Linked DNA regions of Cricetulus griseus. The protein of the gene in region 1 interacts with the protein of each later gene in a pairwise test. Links are inferred from orthologs where the notes say so. Each region holds a gene or a part of one and is shown on either strand. Other genes may lie near its edges.

Region 1 (4,116 bases):
TGGCTTCCCAGACCTAGAGATTCCCCAGAGGCCTGATGTGTGGAAATTTGAAGAAGATAAATCTCCTGGGAGAATGAGGGGTGACCAGGAGGACAGGGTGTTACAAAAATGAAGATTCCAGCATGCACAACCAACTCATTCATAGCTACTCTGTAGAGCTGTCAGGGGCCAGGCTCGGGGAGGAGTAAAGGGAAGCTGGACCAGGAAGAAATGGCCCAGTAGGCTAGACACGATGCCAAAGAGGGGCTCAGGAAGGAGGTCTGCTATTGTACCCTATTAGGGTCCTCATGCATTCCTTCTGTCTTGCCCCTTAGACACACAGCTAGAGGCCCAGGCTGGCCCTGGAGTCATAGGGAGGGCCCCAAGCCCAGCCCTTCACTCCTGAACTCCAGGAATGAGAAGACAGGATGGCAGGGAGAGGACTCTGGACACCTGTTGGGAATGGGAGTCAGCAGGAAACTATCATATAGGCTGATCCTGGAGGCAGGGCATAGATTCTTCAAGTTCCTAGCATCTCACAGGCCCATGGAAAAGTGCAGAATGAGGGTAGCCCTGGCTTCTAGACGCTAAGAGCAGGGGGCAGCTCACCCAACCCAGCTCGTGCTCACCCTCTCTCTCTCTCTCTCTCTCTCTCTCTCTCTCTCTCTCTCTCTCGTGTGTGTGTGTGTGTGTGTGTGTGTGTGTGTGTGTGTGTGCGCGCGCGTGCGTGTTTGCTCACATGCTCGAGTGCACCTACACACAAATGCTTGTTCATTGCAAGATATTCCTGTGTGGGCCCATGTGCACTGAGGTTAAATGTCAGCATCAGGTATTGTTCCTCAGACACTGTTGCCTTGGTTTTCTTTGAGACATCGTTTCTCTCTGGGACCTGGAACTCACCCATTAATCAGTGAGACCCAAGGATCCTCCTGGTTTTCTTTCCCCAGCACTGGAGTTACAAGTACACATCGTCAGACCTGACCTTTTGTTTTCATTCTGTGACTAGAACTTGAGTCTTCATGCTTGACAGGCAAGCAATTTATGGGCTGTTTCCTCAGCCACTCTAGCCCTCTCTTGACCCATCTTACCAGAAAGGGGTTTTTCTTCATCACTGGTGAAGCCAAGCTGGTGTGCCCAGGGAAACCTTGACTCTAGTACAAAGACCTCAGTGGGGTGAGAGGAGCTCTCCCCGTAGCTGGGCTAGGGCCCAGCTCCACCCCCTCAGTCTATTCAGTGGGGTGCTGCCAGGAAGTCAGGGCAGAGCCAGTTCAGCCCATTCCTCCATAAAACTCTGACATCCCCAGAGCCAGCAGGGCCAGGGCAGGATGGAGCGAAGACGCATCACCTCTGCACGTCGCTCCTATGCCTCCTCCGAGACGGTGGTCAGGGGCCTGGGTCCCAGCCGCCACCTGGGTACCATCCCACGCTTCTCTTTGGCTCGAATGCCTCCTCCACTCCCTGCCAGGGTGGACTTCTCCCTGGCCGGGGCTCTCAATGCTGGCTTCAAGGAGACTCGGGCCAGTGAGCGCGCTGAGATGATGGAGCTCAACGACCGCTTTGCTAGCTACATCGAGAAGGTCCGCTTCCTGGAACAGCAAAACAAAGCACTGGCAGCTGAGCTGAACCAGCTTCGTGCCAAGGAGCCCACCAAACTGGCGGACGTCTACCAGGCAGAGCTGCGAGAGCTGCGGCTGCGGCTGGACCACCTTACTGCCAACAGTGCCCGGTTGGAGGTGGAGAGGGACAATCTGGCACAGGACCTGGGCACCCTGAGGCAGAAGTGAGGAGGGGGTCAGGGAAAATGGCTAGACAGAACCGAGAGGGATGCCTATAAGGAAGGGTACTGACTCTGGCAAGGGCTCGGCGTTTCAGCTGCTGCATTTCCCCATGCCTGGGAAAGGGAGAGCTATCTTTGCTCCCTAATATGATGGGAATAGGCAGGGAGAGGCCAGAACTTCAGCGATCTGATTCCCAAAGGTCTGCTGCCAGGGAGCCTGGCACGCGGGACATCTCCACACTGGGGAAGGCTGTGTGGGCAGCGAGGGCACCAGCCAGCAGGTGCTCTGCTTTTTCATTCATTTGGCACTGTGAATCTGACGAGTGAAGGCTTATGTCCACAAGGAGGCTCTGGTCTCTGAAATAGAGAGAATGAAAGAAAGGGCAGGCCTGGGTGCAGAACCCCGATGACTGTCTGTCACCAGTTTTTGTCATAGCTGTGAAGGAGAGGTCATGATACAATCTGTCCTAAAAGGTGGAACTCTGGGGCATGGTGCTTTGCTGAGTGGTGGACATTCGTGTGCCCATATAGTGCAGGAGGTGCACTGGTGTCTGTAAAGCGTGCACATGGTGGTGGATGCGCCTGTGCGAGCATGAGCAGGTGCACCAACCCCGATAAGGCACCTCAGTAATGAGTTAAGGCAGAAACTCTTATCTGCTGCTTACTCTCTCAGCCAGGGCCTCTGTTTAGGAAGCCTCTGCTCCTTACGTCTCCTGCCACTCTGTGGGTCCTGTGAGAGTGTTTTATGACAGTCAATTCCATAGAGGTTGGGACAGGGATCTAATAAGAGTTCTTAGGAAAGCATTAAGCCCATACTGTGTCCCATATCCCAGGCTCCAAGATGAAACCAATTTGAGGCTGGAGGCTGAGAACAACCTGGCTGCCTATAGACAGGTCAGAGAGATGGGAGGGATGGGCAGCTGGGGTGGGGGTGTGTGTGTTGGGGGTAGGGCTTGGGGGTGGGGTTAATGACTGCCCACCCAGACATAGGCCCTGAACTTAACCCTTCACTGCAGTTGCCTGCTTCCCAGACCCCCACAAGGAGGGAGAAGACAAAACTGGAGGTTGTAGTGGGGTGGGCTCTGGGGTCAAAAAAGGCCCTCTCCCCACTCCAGGAGGCAGATGAAGCTACCATGGCCCGTCTGGACCTGGAGAGGAAGATTGAGTCGCTGGAGGAGGAGATACAGTTCTTGAGGAAGGTCCATGAGGAGGTGAGGCCAGGTGGAACGAGGGAGGCCAAACAAGAATCTTCAAATGAAAGAGACAGACAGATGGACAGATAGATACTTAGAGAGGGAAACAGAGAAGCCAACTGTCAGGAAGAAAGAAAATGAAAGAGAAAGAGTGAAGACAGAGAGACCAAGGGAGGTGTTTTCCAGTGTCTCCTACCCCTGGAAAATGCACACAGGCCCTCCCCCACCACCATGTTTTGAGAAGCACAAGGCCAGGTCTTTAGTTTCTTCTCCACATCAGCTCTGTGAGCCCTTCTTGTGGTCTCCTTTCATAACAGGAAGGATGTTGAATCCTAGAGAAGTTAAAAACAAAACAAAACAAAACAACCACCCCAAAGTCACACAGCCTGTCTGGTTTCACCCTCTCCCCCACTTGTCACCAGGAAGATGGGAGACAGTCATGAAAACCCCTCTGAGGACATGCCATCTCAGCATTTGGGAGGTAGAGGTAGGAAGCTCAAAGTGTTTAAGGCCAATTTCAGCTACACAGAAGATTTGAGATCAGCCTGGTCTCCATGAGACCCTGTCTCAAATACACACACACACACACACCCCTCTGTTCTCTGACCTCAGAGCCAGGATGCAGGACATATTCATGCCTGGCTCCTGAACACACAGCCCTGGGAGGAAGACGCCCTCAGATTCTCATTCCATACCCATTAGGGTTTTTATTTCTACTTTTTAACAGGGTCTCACTGTGTAGCCTTGGCTTGCCTGGAACATTCTATGTAGAGCAGACTGGCTTCAAAATCATAGAGGACTGCCTGCTCCAGCCTCTCACATGCTAGGGTTAAAGGTTAAATGGCACATGCCCATTAGCTTAGGCTATGCACTTCCTCCAGTAAAGGCTGCCCCATTTCCCTGAGCCAGTGACATATCTGGGCAGGCAAAAGTGTGATGCTGGGAGAGCCCCAGCTGTAGCCTGGGCCTGAGATACCCCTTCTTTTACCCTATTAGGAAGTTCGAGAACTCCGGGAGCAGCTGGCCCAACAGCAGGTCCACGTGGAGATGGATGTGGCCAAGCCAGACCTCACAGCGGCCCTGAGAGAGATTCGAACTCAATACGAGGCAGTGGCCACCAGTAACATGCAAGAGACAGAGGAGTGGTATCGGTCCAAGGTACCCGTG
Region 2 (4,429 bases), on another chromosome or scaffold:
GAGGGGTCATGAGAGCATGTTTGTAACTAAATTTGAAATTGTTTACTTTTGCTAACTGAATCAGTAATGATATTGTGAGTGCCAAGGAAATATGCAAAAACTATGGCAAATGTTTTTGAGAAAATATAGATCTTACCATTAATAGACTTTTTTTGTTGTTTGTTTCTTTATTTTTAAGAAGCAGAGCCTGCATACAGAGTTATGTTTCTAATTCCTTCTAGTCTATAATAATTCATTCCTATCTTAACTGGAAAGGCCTGACAAAATTAATCTTTCATTGCCATATAATATATGGGGTGTGAAATATGCATCTGTCTTTGGCGAGTGCAAACTTGTTCTTGCTACATAATCATACAGACTTAGTTCTTCCAGGAACACCACAACACTGACTATTGGCAAATTCGTGCATCAGTAACAGAAAATGGTATAGCATTATGACCATGTATTAGTAAAATGAAGCATCAGAGTTTGGGTTTTGTTTGGTTTTTGTTTTCTTCTCTTTCTTGTGTGTGGATGCACATGCACACATTGTTGCATACATGTATGTGCTGGAGTTCATCCCAGGCCCTTGACAAGCTAATCATGTGAGCCTGCCAAGTTACCCATAACTCTGTTTCTTATTGGCACAGTTATTTTAAATAAAATTGGTGCATTACCAATAAGCTTTTCTATTCACTCCAAAGATACATGATTTTATTGATAAAAACTTTCTTCAGATAAAGCAAGATTTTTAAAGTCCAAAGTATTTTTTAATTTCTCAAATTACTGTGTATTTATTATACTATCTAAAGTTCATAATAATGCTATGGATATCCTCACTTTAGTGTAAAAAATATCAAAGCTTATAACAGAATTATATATCTGGTATTTAAAGGTTAATTTTAACTATGTGTATATTTGGGGATAGGATATGTGCACGTGTCAGTGCAAGTGTCCACAAAATTCAGAAAAAGATATTGGATTCCCTGAAACTGGGGTTACAGGTGGTTGTAAGTCACCCACTAAGGGAGCTGAGAACCAAATGTGGCCCCTCTGTAGGGGCAGTATGCAGTTGTGAGGTCTGAGCCATCTTTCTAGCCCCTAAGTCCAAGATTTTAAATTGTCTCATCAAGCCCGAAATATTAATATCCTGAATGTTAGAAATCAAGTCATTTTGGTCACTACTTAGTGTAGCATAAGAAAACTTCTCTTCAGTTTCCTATAGTTATTATTCAAGACGTGTATAGTCCAGGTGAAAGAAGAGAGGCCATGAGTAAGTTTTAAGATGTGTCTCACAGAATAATGATAATACTTGAGATTTGACTTAAGAAAGGAAAATAATGATCTTTTTTCATTTTAATATTTGCATGGTTTGTAGTTAAGACACTAGTCTTCTGAGATGACCTACTTTGGGTCTTGGTACAGTCCTTCCACTTGACCTGGGGAGGATCTTGCTTCTTTCCTGTTTAGTTTTCTATAGTTAATTATGTCATTGGGTCTTAACAAAATATTTCCACAAAGCGCGTGAACTTGGGACTCTGTCTTCTTATGTTTATCTCAGGCTTTATTTTAAAAGGCAAGTGAGACCACTTCAAACCAAACACTTCCACACTTCCAAGAAACAGCTGAGAGAAGGCAGAGATGAGCAGAAACCCTTTGGCTGACACTCACACAGTTGCCATGGACCTGCATAAGCAGTGGGAGAACACAGAGACCAACTGGCATAAGGAAAAAATGGAATTACTGGACCAGTTTGATAATGAAAGAAAAGAATGGGAAAGTCAGTGGAAGGTCATGCAGCAGAAGATTGAAGAGGTATGAGTTGATTTGTTTAAAGATGCTGTAAACTCCAAGCTAAATGTGAAAATCCTGCTGACATTCATTTTCTATTGGGGACTACTTTCATTTCTCTTCTTCCACCAAAGAAATAAACGTCTTATGACGCTAGATCAAAACCAGCATAACCACACCTAGTGGTGTCTCTGAGAGTGCATTTATTTTATAGTCTTACATGAAAATACAGACCTTGAAATGGTTCTCAGCCTCGCTAATGCTGTGACCTTTTAATACAGCTCCTCATATTGTGGTGAGCCCACCCAACCATAAAATTATTTTGTTGCTGCTTTGTAACTGTAATTTTGCTGCTGTTATGAATCATAGTATAAATATCTTACATGTATACTAACTTATATGTGAGCCCAAAGGGGTCACAACCCACAGGTTGAGAACTGATGCTCTACAATGTATCAATTTAGTATTCTCTGATTTCAGGTTTATGGTACCAAAAGTAATGTATATGTTCTGTATGACTCCTCAGCTACTACAGCCTAGAATGAAAATGCAAGAAATAAATAATTGGTGGGGCATACAGTATCAAGATTATAATTTGATAATCATATACCATCTCCTTTCTTAGAAATGACTAATGTATACCAAATATTGTCAAATAACTCAGAAGCATCAAATGTATGTCATATGTCAGACAGAAAAATGGTAGAGGACATCAGATTTATTCTGGCAATGTGTTAATAGGAAATGAATTTTTTAAATGACATATCATGGCTCTGACACAGTCAATAATTTTATTCTCATTAATCACCCCCTAGTCATCCTCGACTTTTGCATGAAATGTTCCTTCAGACATTTACTTTAGTGTGCCTTCGAGCTTGCTCCAACTGAAATTTATGTATATTAATTTTGCTATATTTCATTCAATAAATAATATTGAATTTTTTGGTTTCTTCAACTTAACAAGACAGTTATTTAACAGATTCCCGGGCCTTATTTTTTTTCTTTAGCAGACAAGCAAAGTAAGTGCTTTGTATGTTTACAGTGCAACCATGCTTCTTTCTGATTAACAGAAAACAAATAGGTTGTGAGTAAAATACACAAGTGGTATGCCATAATGGAAAATAAAGGATGGGGGTATTAAATCCTTCCTCTAGGGAATAATAAAGGTGAGACATCTGTGATTAATGATTCCAAAATAAATCTACTTTTACTACTACATTTGAAAAACATATTGTACTAGCGTCCTTCACTTCCCTTATCCAAGGGCTTTCCTACCTGTGATTAAAACAGCATAGTTGAGAGTATATTTATAAAAATGTGCTACATATACTGCCCATAGGTAATATCTCAATGCCAGCACTGTGTGTCTTCTTCTGGTTATATACATATGGACTACAGTGTACAAAGCTAAGATAAAAATACTGAGAAAACCACAAGGGGGGTGCTTGGAAATTGTATGGTTCAAACATAGTGAAGTATTTTTTCTTTAGCAAATATGTTGTTTAACAAGTACAGTACGTGTGTTTAAAGTTACTAGGCTCTAGTATTAAATTCTTTCAGGATATTGAGCCATGTGCTAGAAAGACGCAGACTCCAGAGTGTGCATCTGTAACATTGGTGATTTTAAGTAATAATACAATTGAGTGAAAGCATCCAGTATGAAGATGGTCCTGTATCTCTGCTGAGTCCCTCTCCGCATTCATTACAATTGCTATTGAAAATCCAAGGCATATGTACTCAGACAATTTGAAACCTGGAATAATTCCCTATGAACTATGATCATGTATAACTTAGCTGATAGAAATCTTGAAATTTTTTTGTTCCCTTGCAGTCTTTTCTGCTTGTGTCATTTGGTCATTCAGCTATTGAACAGGAAAAATTTCCTATACCAAAGAAAAAGTTTTCCATTTGTTACAGTGTACTAGTACTAGTTTCAGGGGGTGGGGGGCAGAATTCTTGCTGCTGCTGTTTTAATTTCTCAACTAAGTTGAGTTTTGGGAAGCTATAATGGCATAAAATTACATATAAGTTAAATTATACCAAACCAAAAACTGAAGGATTAGATGAATACATGAAAAGGAATTGTATATAATACACAGGAGTGGGTCTTTCTAGAACCCAATATAGTTAACATGCAAAATGAAAAGCCATGAGTTGTGAATAGCACAATTTCCCCTGGGTCTAAAAATATAGCAATTTTCTTTTTAATTCAGGAAATTTTTTGTTTTGTTCTGTTTTGAGACACGGTTTCTCTGTGTAACAGCCTTGATGGTCCTGAAACTTGCTTTGTAGACCTGGCTGGACTCGAACTCACAGAGATTCTCCTGCCTCTGCCTCCTGAGTGCTGGGATTAAAGGTGAGTGCCACCATGCCAAGTCTATTCAGGAATTCTTAAAAATGGGAAAACACTGCCAACAATATCCTTAAATTTAACAGGGGACTTTGGGGGTTGTTCCTTATATCATTCATGTTGAAGAACAATTCAATACAATTAATTTTGTAGGCATCAAAACAATCAATTTATTGCTGTAGTTTGGAAATGAGTGATTAAAATCTTTATCAATATTGGGGAACTAAAAGCACCATGTATCCTTAATGTATTAGTTATGTATACTCTCTCAACTGGAATTATGTATAAATATTGAGTATGTTATTACAT
Region 3 (2,625 bases), on another chromosome or scaffold:
TTCATTTGTAATGGGGGCTATGCTGAAACTGTCAGGACTGCTGAGGCAGTCGTATGCTTCTCCCTTTAGAAGTCACCACTGTGGCAGTTTGTGGTAGAGGCCTACAGATGTCCAAAGGTTTTTAGGATATACACTGCCCTATACTGGAGATGAGCCAGTGGAGAAGCTCCTTGCTGTGACAAATTGATGCAGAGACCCATAGTAGTACACACACCGGTGGGGAATGCCCCAAAGCCCAGCCACTGCCCAACAGAGCTCTGATAGTCTCCAGCCTGCAGCCAGGGCCCAGATGAGGTCTTGACCCTAAAGTCACTCCAGGGTATTCCAAGGTCCTTCTCTGCACAGGCTATGGAGTTGGCAGAAAGGAAGAGGCAAGAGAAGCAACAAGAGCAAGAGGACAACATGACTGAGATCTCCAACCTGCTGCATAGCGACTTGCTGACTGAGAGCTCACAGCAGGCAACCAGCTCCTTTGGGCCTCATCAAGTGGTCCTTTACCGCTGGAAGGGCATGAGCCCGGAGCAACTGGAAGAAATACGCTACACTCAGAAGCAACAAATCCAGGAAAAGTTGGTGAGCCCCTCCTGGGCCTCAGAGCCACCTCTGTGCCCCTGAATTGCCCTGACACCCAGCTCCTGTGTCAATACTCACTTTGAGAAATCCTCTACCACGGCAGTTTTCATTCTGGTGTGTGGGGGGGTGTAGATGGAAGTTTCTGTCCTGCCCAGTCCCACAGCTGTTTAGTTCCAAATGAACACACAGAGGCTTATATTAATTATAAGTTGTTTGGCTGATAGCTCAGGCTTCTTATTAGCTAGCTCTCTCTTAATTATTAACCCATTTCTATTAATACATAGGTATTTCCATGTGGTGTTGGCTTATCATAGAATACCTGAGTGTCTTACCTTCCCTACATGATGTCTCCTGTTGACTTACTCTTGTTCTTCTTCCCAGCACTCTCCTACTCTGGTAGCCCCACCTATACTTCCTGCCTGGCTCCATTCTGCCTGTCCACTGGCCAGAACAGTTTTATTCAATAAGAAAAACATATATTCACAACATACAGAAGGATATTCCCCATGGGGGTGTGGGCAGGCAAGAGCCAAATACAATGGTCACACATGATGTGTGGAGCAGAGGATGACTACAGCCTTTGGAGGATGGAACTTGTGTCTACAGAGATGGGAAGTTGGTGGGAGGGGCACTCGGGTTGTGGGGGCTCATGAGCACAACTTTGCATATGTTAACTGTGTAATGTCCACCAGACATCTGTGGGATTAGGTTTGCCTGATGTGACAAAAGAAAAGAACACCAAAAAGCACAAGCTAAAACATTCTAAACAAGGTAGAATCCAATCTGTATGTAATCAGTCCTCAAAGCAATCTCAAGCTTGAAGAGAAGTTCTGTGGCCACTGTATTCTGCCATCCTTGGCGCCTGGTTCTAACTTTGTGCAAAATGGCTGCTTAGATGCCAACCATTGCATACATGAGCAAACAGTGGAGAAAGAGAAGTAAGGATAACATTTTTAAGGAGTTTCACAAGACATTTCCAGACATGTTTCATTGGACAACATTTAAATTGCTCCAACTGTAAAGGACATTGGGAAATGTGTCACTAGTGATTCTTTTTTTGTTTGTTTGTTTTTTGTTTTTTGAGACAGGGTTTCTCTGTGGCTTTGGATACTGTCCTGGAACTAGCGCTTGTAGACCAGGCTGGTCTCGAATTCACAGAGATCCACCTGCCTCTGCCTCCCGAGTGCTGGGATTAAAGGCATTCACCACCACCACCTGGCCTAGTGGTTCTTTACTAAGGATGGCTACTGGGGACTCTTACATTTTCTGTCTACAATTTCCAGGTGAGGTGTAAGAGGGGAGAAACAGAGAAGGAAGCAGGGTGTATAATCAGGTCTCAGAACAAGGACTAGGCTAGAGCCTTATGTTTGGGAGTTGTCATCTACAGAAAGTAATACGGTAGCAGTCCTGGGTGTGACCATAGGTGAAGAGACAGGAGAGGAGCCCTGAGGTCTGGGGCTCAGGCATGGCCTTCATTTACAAAGCAGGAACCTGCTAAAGGTACCTGGATAAGAGGTGGGTAGATGGATGTCAAGAAGGATGTCTGGAGGTCAAGGAAGGAAAAGTGTTCCTGGAGGGTAGTGCAGGAACCCCTGCACCACAGTCCAGGATGTGGACTGCCCCCTCAGCAACCCACCAGGCAGAAGTGCTGGTGGGGTGAGGGAGGATCACTCTGTGATTGGCTGCAGGGAAGGCTGGCCTGGGAGGAGACAACAGGGCAGGAATGGCAGAAGGCTCTGTCAGTCTGTCATACATCTGTTCAGCTGGACTGTGGAATGAAGGTTGGCTCTAAACCCAGTATTTTGATCCAATTTTTAATCTAGAAGATTTAGAAGGCAGGAACACACAAAGCGAGAAAGACCACATTAAGATTCTTGCTCAGGGCTGGGCATTGGTGGCCCACACCTTTAATTCCAGCACTCAGGAGGCAGAGGCAGGCAGATCTCTGTGAGTTTGATACCAGCCTGGTCTACAGAGTGAGTGCCAGGACAGGCTGCAAAGCTACACAGAGAAACCCTGTCTTGAAAAACAAAACAAACAAACAAACAAACA

The links.
Region 2: the proteins of Gfap (region 1) and Kiaa0408 interact in binary tests that used the Homo sapiens proteins (3 or more experiments, as listed by UniProt). The link is inferred for Cricetulus griseus from reciprocal best matches to the Homo sapiens genes GFAP and KIAA0408.
Region 3: the proteins of Gfap (region 1) and Ribc2 interact in a two-hybrid assay, tested with the Homo sapiens proteins (2 studies listed by BioGRID and IntAct). The two-hybrid records come from large-scale screens. The link is inferred for Cricetulus griseus from reciprocal best matches to the Homo sapiens genes GFAP and RIBC2.

Annotation. Positions count from the first base shown.
Region 1 is NC_048600.1:115,223,932-115,228,047, forward strand, and holds the start of Gfap (glial fibrillary acidic protein), read left to right. Parts: upstream 1-1,304; coding exon 1,305-1,759; intron 1,760-2,589; coding exon 2,590-2,650; intron 2,651-2,871; coding exon 2,872-2,967; intron 2,968-3,945; coding exon 3,946-4,107; intron 4,108-4,116.
Region 2 is NC_048595.1:247,808,124-247,812,552, forward strand, and holds the start of Kiaa0408 (uncharacterized protein KIAA0408 homolog), read left to right. Parts: upstream 1-1,553; 5' UTR 1,554-1,620; coding exon 1,621-1,794; intron 1,795-4,429.
Region 3 is NC_048595.1:381,976,464-381,979,088, forward strand, and holds part of Ribc2 (RIB43A-like with coiled-coils protein 2), read left to right. Parts: intron 1-345; coding exon 346-573; intron 574-2,625. UniProt on the Homo sapiens protein: Microtubule inner protein (MIP) part of the dynein-decorated doublet microtubules (DMTs) in cilia axoneme, which is required for motile cilia beating.